2 linked regions of the Kluyveromyces lactis genome follow. The protein of the gene in region 1 interacts with the protein of each later gene in a pairwise test. Links are inferred from orthologs where the notes say so. Each region holds a gene or a part of one and is shown on either strand. Other genes may lie near its edges.

Region 1 (6,783 bases):
GGTGCAGAACAAGTTTCTTTCACTAAAAACCAACTAGCCTTTCTAGTGGAAGAGGAAATACAACAGAGGAAAGATAGAGACGAGTTGAAACCTAAGGATACAGTTGAAGGAAGACGTGTGCCAGTTCATGAATACTTAGGTCCACTCTCACCTAAGCAGGCAGAAGCAGCTGCATTTGCAGAGTATCATTGGGACCACCAATTGCTTGGTCCATACGTGCCAAAATCGAAATTAGAGTCTTTATCGGCCAACGAATTTGCAGCGTACTTTAGGAAGAGGCAATTTGAAGAGGGAAGAAAGGCCTTAGAACGTGTAAGCATGGTACCTGCCATTGATCTACCCATAATGGGTGGTGGTAACCCATATGGAGCTGCCCCACACAAACAAAAACACTATAGGAATTAATATCCATACTGATTTAGAGAGGCGGTAACTGACTTGTCATGATGATGTTATTTGATAGGCAAGGGAAGTGAACTGAACACGATACTGACAGCTGATGCTTGTGGCCATACGAATTTTAGACTATGAACTCTTTTAAGAAGATTCTCCAAATACCTATATATACATATATACTTTTATATGTATAGCTGAAAATTGTAACATTTATTGAACCATTAGTCGCTGAATGATTTCAAATACCTCAACATTCAAGAGTAGCTTGTATGAGATTTGATGTTGGAACTACAATAAGTGATATTGTTTTGAATTATATATTTATATGAGGGGGAAAGAAATTTTCTACCTTAATCTTGTTCAGCAATAGAGACCAATCTTTCCTCAATTTCATCAGCTGTTAGCGTAAAGAATTTATCCTTAATCGCTACACCAACTTCTAGATCATTTTTGCTGAAATCTGTTCCTAATGAGTCAATTAGGGTAGTGATACCGAACTCAACGGTTTTTTCCCAACTTTCCTCATCGATTTTATCGTCCTTTAACTTCTTGAAATGCTTCTCCAAAGCAGAGTTCAACTCCTGCTGTTTTGGGCCAGTGGCAGTAGCCTTGTACCCCGTATAGTAACCAGCAGGGTCACATTTGAAAATAGCAGGTCCTGTTTCCTCATCGTACGAAATAAAAGTCAAAATAATCCCTAATGGTCTCATGTAAGCTCTTTGTGTGTATATTTGCGACAAATTGGCCATTCTTTTAGCTAGTACGGAGCATGGGATATCATACCCATATTTATAACGAAACTCACTAGCTTCGGCTTTACATCTCAATGCAATATTTCTGGCATCTGGAACCGGTCCTGTGGCACAGAACCCGATATGTCTTGCCACTGGGAAAATATAGCTAACCGTCTTAGGATCTAAAAGCTTATCTGGGACTTTCTTCTGGCTAATTACCACAGAGGCGGTCTTGGACCTGATGGCTATTGAGTTTAGATTAGGTTGATTGGCCGCTTTGAAGGCATACTCGACTTGGTAAAGACGACCTTCTGGAGAGAAAATAGTAATGTGACGATCGTAACCTGCAGCAGACATAGGATATGTGGTTATAGGGATTCCCAATTGACGATTGAGATTCAGTAGTTACAGGAAGATCAATGAGTTGCCAGGTTCTTCGTATATCTTGGTAAAGGTAACTGTAGTGCGTTGATGTGTTTGCCACCAAAATTATTTAAAAGTTGAAATTAGAGTTAAAATTGAAATGAAATATTAAGGAAGGGGAAGACAACTGAGATAATGCAATCAATAAGAAAAAAAACAGCAACATCAAAAAACACAAGCAAAGCATCCGTGTTACGGTTTTGCGCTACCAAGTCTCAGAATGAGTCCCAGTCTTCTAGATCTAGAGACGCAACTAGCGTTCTACAAAGCTTATCATAACAATACTGGGAATGTGTTAATTCATAGCATTTTTGTCCCAACGATTCTCTTTACATCCATGCGTATATTGAACGACGTTAAGATCTGGAATGGCTATACCTTGACTCATTTGTTAGCGTTGTCATTTGGGTTGTTCTATATACTGTTACGAGTAGGTACCGGAATCCTTGCGTCGTTGATATTGGCACTGACGTGCAAATTTTTGAACGACGGGACTATTAAGATGACACAGACCACTGCCTGGATATTATTTGTGATCAGTTGGATCTTCCAGTTCATTGGCCACGGTGTTTTCGAGAAGCGCAAACCTGCGCTTCTCGATAACTTGGTGCAAAGTCTTGTGCTAGCGCCATACTTCATCCTTTACGAATTACTATTTATTTTAGGGTTCATGCCTGAACTTAAGAAGAATCTACAAGCTCGTGTTGACAAAGAGCTAGATCGTATGAGAGCGAGTAAATAAACTTAACCTCCGTTCGCCTAAACAGTATATATGCTCTATTTATGACTTCTATGATGATGACAATAACGATACTTGAACCCATGATGGAATTGAAACATCAATCACGTGATATAGAAATGATCTCTTTTTTTTCTTCTTTCTATCAGATCTCTGCGATTCGCAGTCACATGACTAGAACTGGGCAAGAACCCCTTTTTATTTCCAGATCCGGGATCACCGTATCATCATGTACGAAACACAACCCCGGGTAACCAAAGGATCACAGAAAAACAATTCGAAAACTGCAGGTTCTTGTACCACACTGCCAGGAACCGGTGCTGCGTGCTGTCGGTATTTTCATTTGTTCTTTTTCTGAGTGAAAATGAGAGAATCAGAAAATGAGAAAAGATTAGGCCCAAAATAATTGAATAAGTCTATCAATATACTTAGAACATATATAAATATATATATGTCTATACATATATAAGTAATTCGTATAAACAAGTTTTAGCTTGAATTGGGTTAGAAAGGCCAGACAAACTCTTGAGGTTTAGATAGAGTGCGCGAGTTGCATTGCAATTGTGCAAAAGAGAAAAAAAAAAACCAATCAAAACGGAGAAATAAAAGGAAATAGCATAATACCGAAAAGAGACGACAAAAAGGAAGTGTCTCGTATTCCTGCATTCTTTTAGTTTTTGATTTCAATTTAGTTTGGATAATTAAATTTGATTGGCGATTTGTATAGGGATCCTCTTGGCCTTGTATACAATCTGGAAGCTTATAGGTCCTTTTACTTGGCTCCTGACGCATTTAAATACCTACAATGACGGTGTTTTTGGGTGTTTACCAGGCGCTTTACGATTATTCTGCGCAAACAGATGAGGAACTAACTGTCAAAGAGGGTGATCTATTGTATCTTTTAGAAAAATCTAGCATTGATGATTGGTGGACCGTTAAGAAGAGAGTTATCGGATCTGATCAGGATGAACCCGTAGGTTTGGTCCCCAAGACATATATTGAAGAGGCTCCAGTGATTGGGAGTGTAGTTGCGCTTTACGATTATGAACAAGTTCAGAATGCCAATGAGGAATTGGTATTCCATGAAAACGATACGTTCCAATTGTATGACGATAGGGATGCAGATTGGTTCTTGGTGAAGAATACCAAGAATTCAGAGGTTGGGTTTGTGCCAGGTAATTACGTGGAAAAACAATCGCAGCAAGCTGGAGGTCCCGCTGCAGGAGTTACACAGTCTAAGCACCAAGCCCCAGCTGTTCTACCCCTTTCTGAACTTCCAGCTCCACCTCAGAGGTTGGACAGAGTCAATTCTCAACCATCATTCAGAAGCGGATCTACCCCTGCTGGCGCTGCAAGTACAGCAGATGCTCCAGGAGCTCCATCTACATCGACACCACCACCAGCATCAAATGCAGGCGTTGCGTCTCATACAACTATGCCAGTTGATGTTTCACTGCTCCCTCCACCTCCAAAGAGAAACGATACGGCAACCACAGAAGTCCAGCGTGAGTCAGCAGTAGCAGAACCTCCAGCAATGCCTCAAAGACCTTCTAATACTGAACACCAAACAAGTTATCGTGATGACCCAAGAGACAATAATAGAACTTCCCAAATAACTAGAGATTATTCAGATGATGAGCGTGATTACGATTTCGATGACGATGAGGAAGATCAACCTCCACTGCCATCTAGAAATGGAAGACCTTCAGCCTCGACCGCTGAACATGTTTGGTCTGTTAGTGAGGTTGATGGTCGTAAGAAATGTAAAGCTACGTTGACTGTTTCTGCTGAACGTATTCATTTCTTCTCTGCAAAGACAAAAGTGGATCAAGAATGGGCAGTTAAAGATTTGATCAACTATAACAATGAAAAAAAGCATCTATTTCTTGAATTTAAAAACCCTTACATTAACTTGGAATTGCATACTGGCTCTAACGATCTGGCTAACGAGATCATGGGCGTCTTGGGTGAGATTAAAGGTGCCCAGACAGCAGTTGGGTTACGTGAAGTTGAAGCTGCTTCAAGGCCTGCCATGACCAAGAAAAGAGCTAAAGCTGTATATGACTTTTTCGCTAACTCTCCTGATGAACTCACCGTTAAAGAAGGCGACTACATTAATATCTTAGATGACAGGACTTCGAAAGACTGGTATATGTGTGAATCTGTAGAAACAGGTAAAAGAGGCATTGTCCCCGCACAATTTGTCGAAACACGCGGATCAGGCTCATCAAGGCCTTCTGATGAAAGCCCTTCTAGGAGTAAGTCTAAGACCAGATCCAGATCTAACACTTCTAACTTTACTCAAAATTTAGTTGGCAGCTGGAAAGAGGATGCTGATCAAGATGTATCGAAGAAAAAGTCTAAAACTTCGAGCTTTTTCTCCAAGAAGAAGAAAACTGATGATAAAGAGTTCCCTGATCCTAAAAAGGTTAGAATTTGGGTAGACAGAAGTGGTACTTTCAAAGTTGAAGCACAGTTTTTGGGCTGTGTCGATGGGAAGGTTAACTTACATAAGGTGAACGGTGTGAAAATTGCTGTTGCTGCAGACAAATTGTCCGAAGATGATATTTTGTATGTGGAAAGATTGACGGGTATGTCTATGGAGAAATTCAAACATAAACCCAAGAGTTCAAATAATGACAGTAGTGCAGTAAACGCAGAACGTGAAAGAAGAAGAAAGGCTAAGGAGCGTGAACGGGAACTTGAAGAAAGAGAACGTGATAGACAATTAAGAGAGCAAGAACTTAAAGAGTTAAAGAGGGCTAGAGATCTCTTGGAAAGCGAAAGAGAAAAGCTGAGGAGTGCACAAGACAAAGAACTGCCACCTGTGAAACCACCAAGACCAGGCAGTGAAGCAAGCAAAACGCACCCTGTCACAAAGAGCTCCAAGAATCCCGAATACGATTGGTTCGAATTTTTCTTGAATGCTGGTGTTGATGTCAACAATTGTCAACGCTACACCATTAATTTCGAAAGAGAGCAAATTAGTGAAGAAATCTTGCCAGATATCGAGCCTTCTTTATTAAGAAACTTAGGTCTACGTGAAGGTGACATTTTAAGAGTAATGAAGTATCTAGATAACAAGTTTGGCAGAACAAAGGAGGCTTCTCCATCAACTGGATTGTTTACTGAAGCCGATGGATCCTTGAAGGTTAACCATACAGGTGCTCCCGCATCTGCAGGCGTATCTCATAATCTATTACCAGATAGTAATTCATCGAATAGAGATGATGATGCATGGACTGTTAGACCTGCTGCTAAAGCCAGCGACAGCTCCAACAAGGCTCAGGATTTCTCTGGGTCACTTCAAGATTTGCTTGATTTGCAACCTTTAGAGCCGAAGAAGAAAGAAACACCAGCTCCAGATGTCAAGCATCTAGAATCTGTCACCACTAACGGTTCGAATAAAAAGGAAGAAACCCCTCTGTCAGCAAATAAGACGGGTACTTCTTTGGTTCCATTAGATCCATTCAAAACTGGTGGTAATAATCTAATCCCTATTACTACAGGGGGATTCATTATGATGCCAGTAGCAACAGGCGGTTTAATGCCATTCCAACCGACTGGGGGGCTAGTACCTCTGCAAAGGACTGGAGGTATGATTGCACCTCAAACAACGTTTGGTATGCAACCAACAGGTACTGTCTTGCCAGTTCAAAAGACTGCGAACGGTTTGATACCAGCGAACACTGGAGGGTTGATGCCACAAACGACGTTTGGTGTACAACCCCAAACAGCATTCCCCGCTACAACCTTTGGTTCAAGTATCACAGGAGGCGCAATGCCTTTACAAAGGACTGGTGGTGCCTTACCTCCTACTTCCTTCAACACGCAAATGCCCGGTGCAATGCCATTGCAATCAACTAACACATTTGGTAATCAATTAACTGGAGGTGCTAATTTGCTGCCTTCCACCACTTTTGGAAACCAATTTACTGGAGGTGCTAATCTACAACCTGCTACCACTTTCGGAAACCAATTCACAGGAGGTGCGAATATACAGCCGGCTACTACCTTTGGGAACCAATTCACAGGTGGAGCGAACATCCAGCCAAACTTCAATTCTGGGAATCTATTTACCGGCAATCAAATGAACATACAACCCCAGACAACGTTTGGTAATCAATTTACAGGTGGTATCAATTTGCAAAACCAACCAAGCCTCGGAAATCAACTTACTGGCGGCGCTCTTCTTCAACAATCTCAGCTCTCCTTCGGCAATCAATTAACTGGTGGTGCTAATGTTCAACAACCGTTCAATAGCAACCTACCACAAACTTCATTTGGTTTATCTCAAACTACGACTGGTGGATTCCAGCCACAATCGTCATTTGGTATCAATTTACAAAGAACCGGAGGTATGAATACAGCACCTCAAACATCATTCAATAACCAAGGAGGTGTCAATCAAGTAACAAATTCCTTCCAGAATATGAATTTGTCCCAGCAACCACTGCAGAATCAGCCAACTGGATTCGGTTTTGGTAACGG
Region 2 (5,426 bases), on another chromosome or scaffold:
TCCTCGATAGATCCACAATTTGTTCTCTGTTCAACATATCAATATTATTATTTATCTAACTAATATAAGAACTATTGAAACATTTGAAATATTGTAAAGCACGCACAAATGAAATGAATGAGACAGACAAGGGCAGTAAAACTTCGCAAGCTACAAGTCTGAATATGGACTCTTTTGACTATCTGTCTGTTCCAGATGGGGTAGAAGTGCCGGCAGATGAATCACAAAGGCGGAGCATATGGAAAACGGTTGAATATGTTATAAGGAACGGTGCAACATATGAAGAGAAGTTAAAGAGCCAGGATATTGGATTCACTCAACCAGGCAACAAGTACAACGACTATTATGCATTCCTTTTAGAGCATCAGAGATCAAGACAGGATACTCTGGTGTCTACTAAGAATGAACTGGATCGTAAACCGAGTGAACCCTATCCATTTGTCTATAGTACTTACCGAAATGATATAGGGCAAAAGGACTTGGAACTAATAAAAGCAGCGGCTCATTTTTGTGTTATCAATAATGATATTAACTACCTTGAGAAACTAAGAGAAAGATATGCGGAAGACCCTCGATTTGCATTTTTACGGCTTGATCATTCTTTGAACTCAGTATTAACTGATTTTATTAATCAATACGAACAGATTTTATCAGAGGAATACGGGCCTATAGTACGATTGGAGGGGCCGTTACAATCAACTATTCTCCGAAGGGCATTTCAGAAAGCAGAATATATGGAATTACAGGATGAATTGAAACAAAAGATGAAGGCAGACATAAAAACATCTAGAATAAGATTCTCGGCTTATGAATGGGAAAAATTTGAATTGGTAGGAACTGTGACTATTAGCGAAGAAGAAAACTTAGAACAGCTACCAGAAGCCTTGAATTTCGATATATTGAAAGCAACAAAGCTCACCAACGATGTTGACATTTTTAAAACAGAAGATGTCAGTGCTGCAGCTCAAAAGAGAAAGAGAAAGAATATGAATATAAGAAAGGCGGGTGAAACTAGATTGAAAAAGAAAAGCGGACTAAGCAACACCAGCGAACACATGCTCAAATGTCCAATTACAGGAAGATTGGTCCCAGAACCCGATTTTGATTCACACTTGAAAATCTTGTTAAGCGATCCTGAGTTCAAAGAAGTACGAGACAAATATGAATCAAAACATAAGTTAACTAATTTGTCTACATCAGAAGTGTACGAAAACATTAAGCGGATAGTGTCGCAAGACAACGCCAACCCTGTAAAAAGGCAGAAAATATAGACGTATGTATGCCTCTGTATGTATTAATTTGTTATATTTTCGTTATTCTTGTCTCATTATAATTTACACTTTCATACTTCAAATTCAAAATCAAAGGTCAAACTGAGTTACTAAATAAATAACATACGATAACAAAAAAACATTCAAAAACATTATCGTATGATGAAATAAAGCAACGTACACATTCGTCAGTAACCCAGTTTGGTTTCAAAGTTATTATCTACTGATAACTACTATTGTAGGTGTCAATTTATAGCATGACGAACTTATCATACATATATATACATCTGTCACAGAACCCAAAGAAAACGTAGATTCACTTAAGAATTACCAGATAACATTTGCCAACTACTTGGAGTGTACAACTGGCACATTTAGTGCAAGGCTTATAATAAATATACCAGCCACATTCATTTTATGTAAGTAAGAATTTTAAAGTAAAGTGATTAAAAAACAACGTTACATCGATATAGCAGAATTTCGGATGCGTCTGCATTCTGAAGAGACTCGTCCTTGTTAGCTCAGTTGGTAGAGCGTTCGGCTTTTAAGCACCGCTTGCAAGGAACCGAAATGTCAGGGGTTCGAGCCCCCTATGAGGAGTCCCTTTATTTTTTTTCCTATTGCGATATTAAACCAGATTCTTGACAACGATAAGTGAAGGCGTTCACTCTCATCCTGGGTACATCATGAATCACATAGAAATACAACGATCTCAGCCCCAATTTACCAAGTATTTGATACTTAGCATTAAACGCACCGTTTAAGTAGATGAATTATCCAATTTTAAGCTTGCCTCGAGTCGATGTTTGTCGGCAGTTAATGTTTGTTTACCTTTTTACTATTTGATCGTCAAATCTGAAAAACCAACTTCCAAAAGTCATAAAATCGTAATGAAATATTTGATATTTTCGAGGTTTCTTTCAGCGAATGACATCGGACTAATTATCAAGTATTATGTACGTTCCGGTATAGCCACTTGATGAGGCATATCAGTTCAATTATTGATTATTATTTGACGCCTTTTTCACAATTTGGCCCTATCTTTCGACATATTTAGGAGATTTGCAATAAGCTATTATAGGAGAACCACCAATTCAGTAGTCATAAACCTAAAGAATGGATCCAATCAATGTCAATGTTAACAGTATCTTTTACAAATCCTACTCAGTAGATCCGGAATCTGAGTATCCAATATATGTCTTTGACTCAACTTATCTTCCCTCTTTCAATGTGGTTGATGACAAGCAAGTTTATGAGCTATTAATCGATGGATTAATGGACAAAGTATTGACGAAACTCCCTGCTGAACCGTTTTCCTTAGTTGTGTTTAGTTCGGGATTTACCACAAATGATATAAGCTGGGTTTATGGCATCAAATTATATTCAAAGGTACCGAAAAATGTGAGGTCATTAATTCAGAAAACGATAGTGGTTCATGAATCATTTTTTGTAAAGACTGTTTTCCAAGTATTGAAAAATGCAATGAGGATCAAAGATTTGAGCAACAAAGATTCAAATACAGATACAGTTATCCACGTACCCTCATTAACTGCTTTAGCAAACCATTTAGACATTACTCTACTAAGAATTAGCTTGAATGTTTATCTCTACGATTATCAATTTAATGAAAAAATAACGATACCAGATCAATATACGGTCAATCCTGGAAGTATAGCGAACAGACAATACAGACAATTAATATTTGATCGTATATTCAAGAGGCTAAAAGTGGAAGGTCCGAAATCTGAGCTCGTTTTTCAAAAGCCCGGATCATACAAAAAAATCAACATTTTGCTGGATGTGATAGAGAGAAACCATTATGTAGATCTCTCTCAATGGGATATCTATTCTCTGGGATCGGTGTTCTTAAACTTTTTGAAAAATAAAAGCAAACCACTAATTCCCCTTGACCTTATACCCTTGCCAGTGACAGATGACTTAGAGTATACGAAAACAACCTTCAAATCGATAACAGAATATAATGGGTATTACGATTTGGTAAGAGCAGTTTTCCCTCTTTTCATTGACTTCCTTGATAATAGTGATGAAACAAAGCATAACCTGAAGACATTGAGTAAATCTTTGACCCCAACTTTATGTAAAGAAAAAGTTTCGATGAAGAGCAGCGACAAATTGTCGATTGGTACTCGTTTCATTAGGAATCTACTATCACAGTTCTATTTAGTCATTGATGAACTTGATTCGAAAAATGCTCCAGCTCTCCCGGCAAGAATAATATCTTCTACGACAATAACTCCTCCTGAGTTACCCAAGCCCAGAAAAGCAAGTCCAACCAGATACACAATCACTTCGCCAACCCCACCTGAAACGACGCCCGCTGTTAGGCCAAGATCTTCCTCTGTTAAACATACCCCTCCATCAACAGAATTGGGCGTATCAGCTTCATCGTCCAATGTTTTACAAGAACCAAATGCTCTCCCTGTTATTAATTTAACAGAAGTGCCAACGTTGGAACCTCCATCTCCGTTCATCAATGACTCCAGAAACGACTCTACAAACTCTTTTGACAGTAATGGCAGTATGCAGAGGGACAGACTACGCTCTCCGACAAGACATTTGGGTAAGGACATTATCACTGATGCTGATACAAATGGAGTGGATGAAATTGTGGGATTAACCGACCTTTTAGATCAATTGACTATTGAAAAGAATGCAAAGATTCAATCATTTGATAAAGAAATGAAAAAGAAAAAGATGATACAGCAAAAATCAACGAATGCTACCAGATTTTCTAATGAAGGTTACGCAGACATATCTAAGGGTAGCAAGGTGAGCAAGCTAGCAGCTCTTTATGAGGAGCGTCTACAAGGTCTACAGGCCATTAGTGATCTTAAATAGAACCAATTTCCATATAGGGAACTCTCTTTAAAAAAACATCAAAACGTATATAGTGAGTGACGAAAAACGCCAAAGTTAGTTTGGTTTCCATGTCAAGGTTCGAGGCCACCAAAATCAGAATCGGCATGCTAACATGACCGAATAGGAAAAGAACCTGATCTGTTACTTAAAAGTACTGTATATACACCCTTTCGTGAAGCCAGCAATTAAGTAAACATTGACTCTTCAAAGGGACACATACAAGTGTTTTCATATAGCTGATCATCTCTTCGACTATTGTTGCCAATTCTTTTTTTTCTAGTAAACAAGTTGGCAAGATGAGCTATAACACAACTCCATTGTTTGGGCGACAGTCATTTTTAACCGAGGACAATGAAGTTGAACTAAATATTTCTCCTACTCAACCATTGGATCTGAGAATGTCAATAATAAAAGCTCAAAAAAGGACGTCTTCTCAAGCAATTAGAATTTCCACAATCGCCCAAAGACTAACGAACGATAGTAAACATGTTTCTATACAGTCCACTAACACCTATACTTCGAATGACACTTTTCTCACTGCAAATTCCCGCGAAGCACAACTCCAGAATGATCTAAGCTTTCAACAAAGTCATCCTTTCACAGTATTCACTAAAAGCAAAGAACAACTTCATGATGTTGATGTGACCCCAGTGGTAAAGGAGTCCACATTCATAGATGTTACGACCCCAAAGGCAAGCAAATTTGAATTAGTGCCACCTGAAGAAGAATTGAGTAACTCACCTAATCCCATTAAGGGGCTAGGCTTGACGCACTCCAATCACACGCCAGAGTTCAGCTACGATGTAAATCAAACAGTTAGTGACACCGAAGAAGGTGATACCACTCATGAGTTTACATTTGACTCCTATGGAAAGTTTGCCCATAATGGTACCCTGATATCGGCTGGCGACACTATAACAACTACCCCTCCCTCAACGGAGGGGCGGGAGCACTGTATCAATCCAAGACATACCGAGAGAAAGTCTCCCGGTTTTTCCCTCTCGGAAGAAAATCTTGCGTATTTGTTTATCATTGCCGTCCATTCTTTCAATGTTTCTTCGCTTGAGAATAAAGAAGATGCAGCCATTTGCATTTCATTCGAGAAAGGTGACGTTGCGTTTGTACATAGTGTTGATGAATCAGGTTGGGGAGAGGTAACTCTAATTAAAGACATGCGAAAAGGCTGGGTTCCTTTTAATTATTTTGGAGATGCAGTGAAGGAGGAAAAACAACCAAATGATAAGAATGGTTTAAATACCTTCATAGATACAAGAA

What was found. The genes of interacting proteins can lie anywhere in the genome.
Region 2: the proteins of SLA1 (region 1) and ECM25 interact in binary tests that used the Saccharomyces cerevisiae proteins (3 or more experiments, as listed by UniProt). The link is inferred for Kluyveromyces lactis from reciprocal best matches to the Saccharomyces cerevisiae genes SLA1 and ECM25.

The regions. Positions count from the first base shown.
Region 1 is NC_006037.1:445,102-451,884, reverse strand, and holds the start of SLA1 (cytoskeletal protein-binding protein SLA1), read left to right. Parts: upstream 1-3,097; coding exon 3,098-6,783. Other genes in the region: LDB7 (Ldb7p), read left to right, coding at 1-405; SCL1 (proteasome core particle subunit alpha 1), read right to left, coding at 747-1,487; 2-hydroxy-palmitic acid dioxygenase MPO1, read left to right, coding at 1,774-2,295. UniProt on the Saccharomyces cerevisiae protein: Component of the PAN1 actin cytoskeleton-regulatory complex required for the internalization of endosomes during actin-coupled endocytosis. The complex links the site of endocytosis to the cell membrane-associated actin cytoskeleton.
Region 2 is NC_006039.1:299,292-304,717, forward strand, and holds ECM25 (Ecm25p), read left to right. Parts: upstream 1-2,387; coding exon 2,388-4,130; downstream 4,131-5,426. Other genes in the region: RCY1 (Rcy1p), read right to left, coding at 1-37; PRP21 (Prp21p), read left to right, coding at 114-1,271; Ras family guanine nucleotide exchange factor BUD5, read left to right, coding at 4,448-5,426. UniProt on the Saccharomyces cerevisiae protein: May be involved in cell wall organization and biogenesis.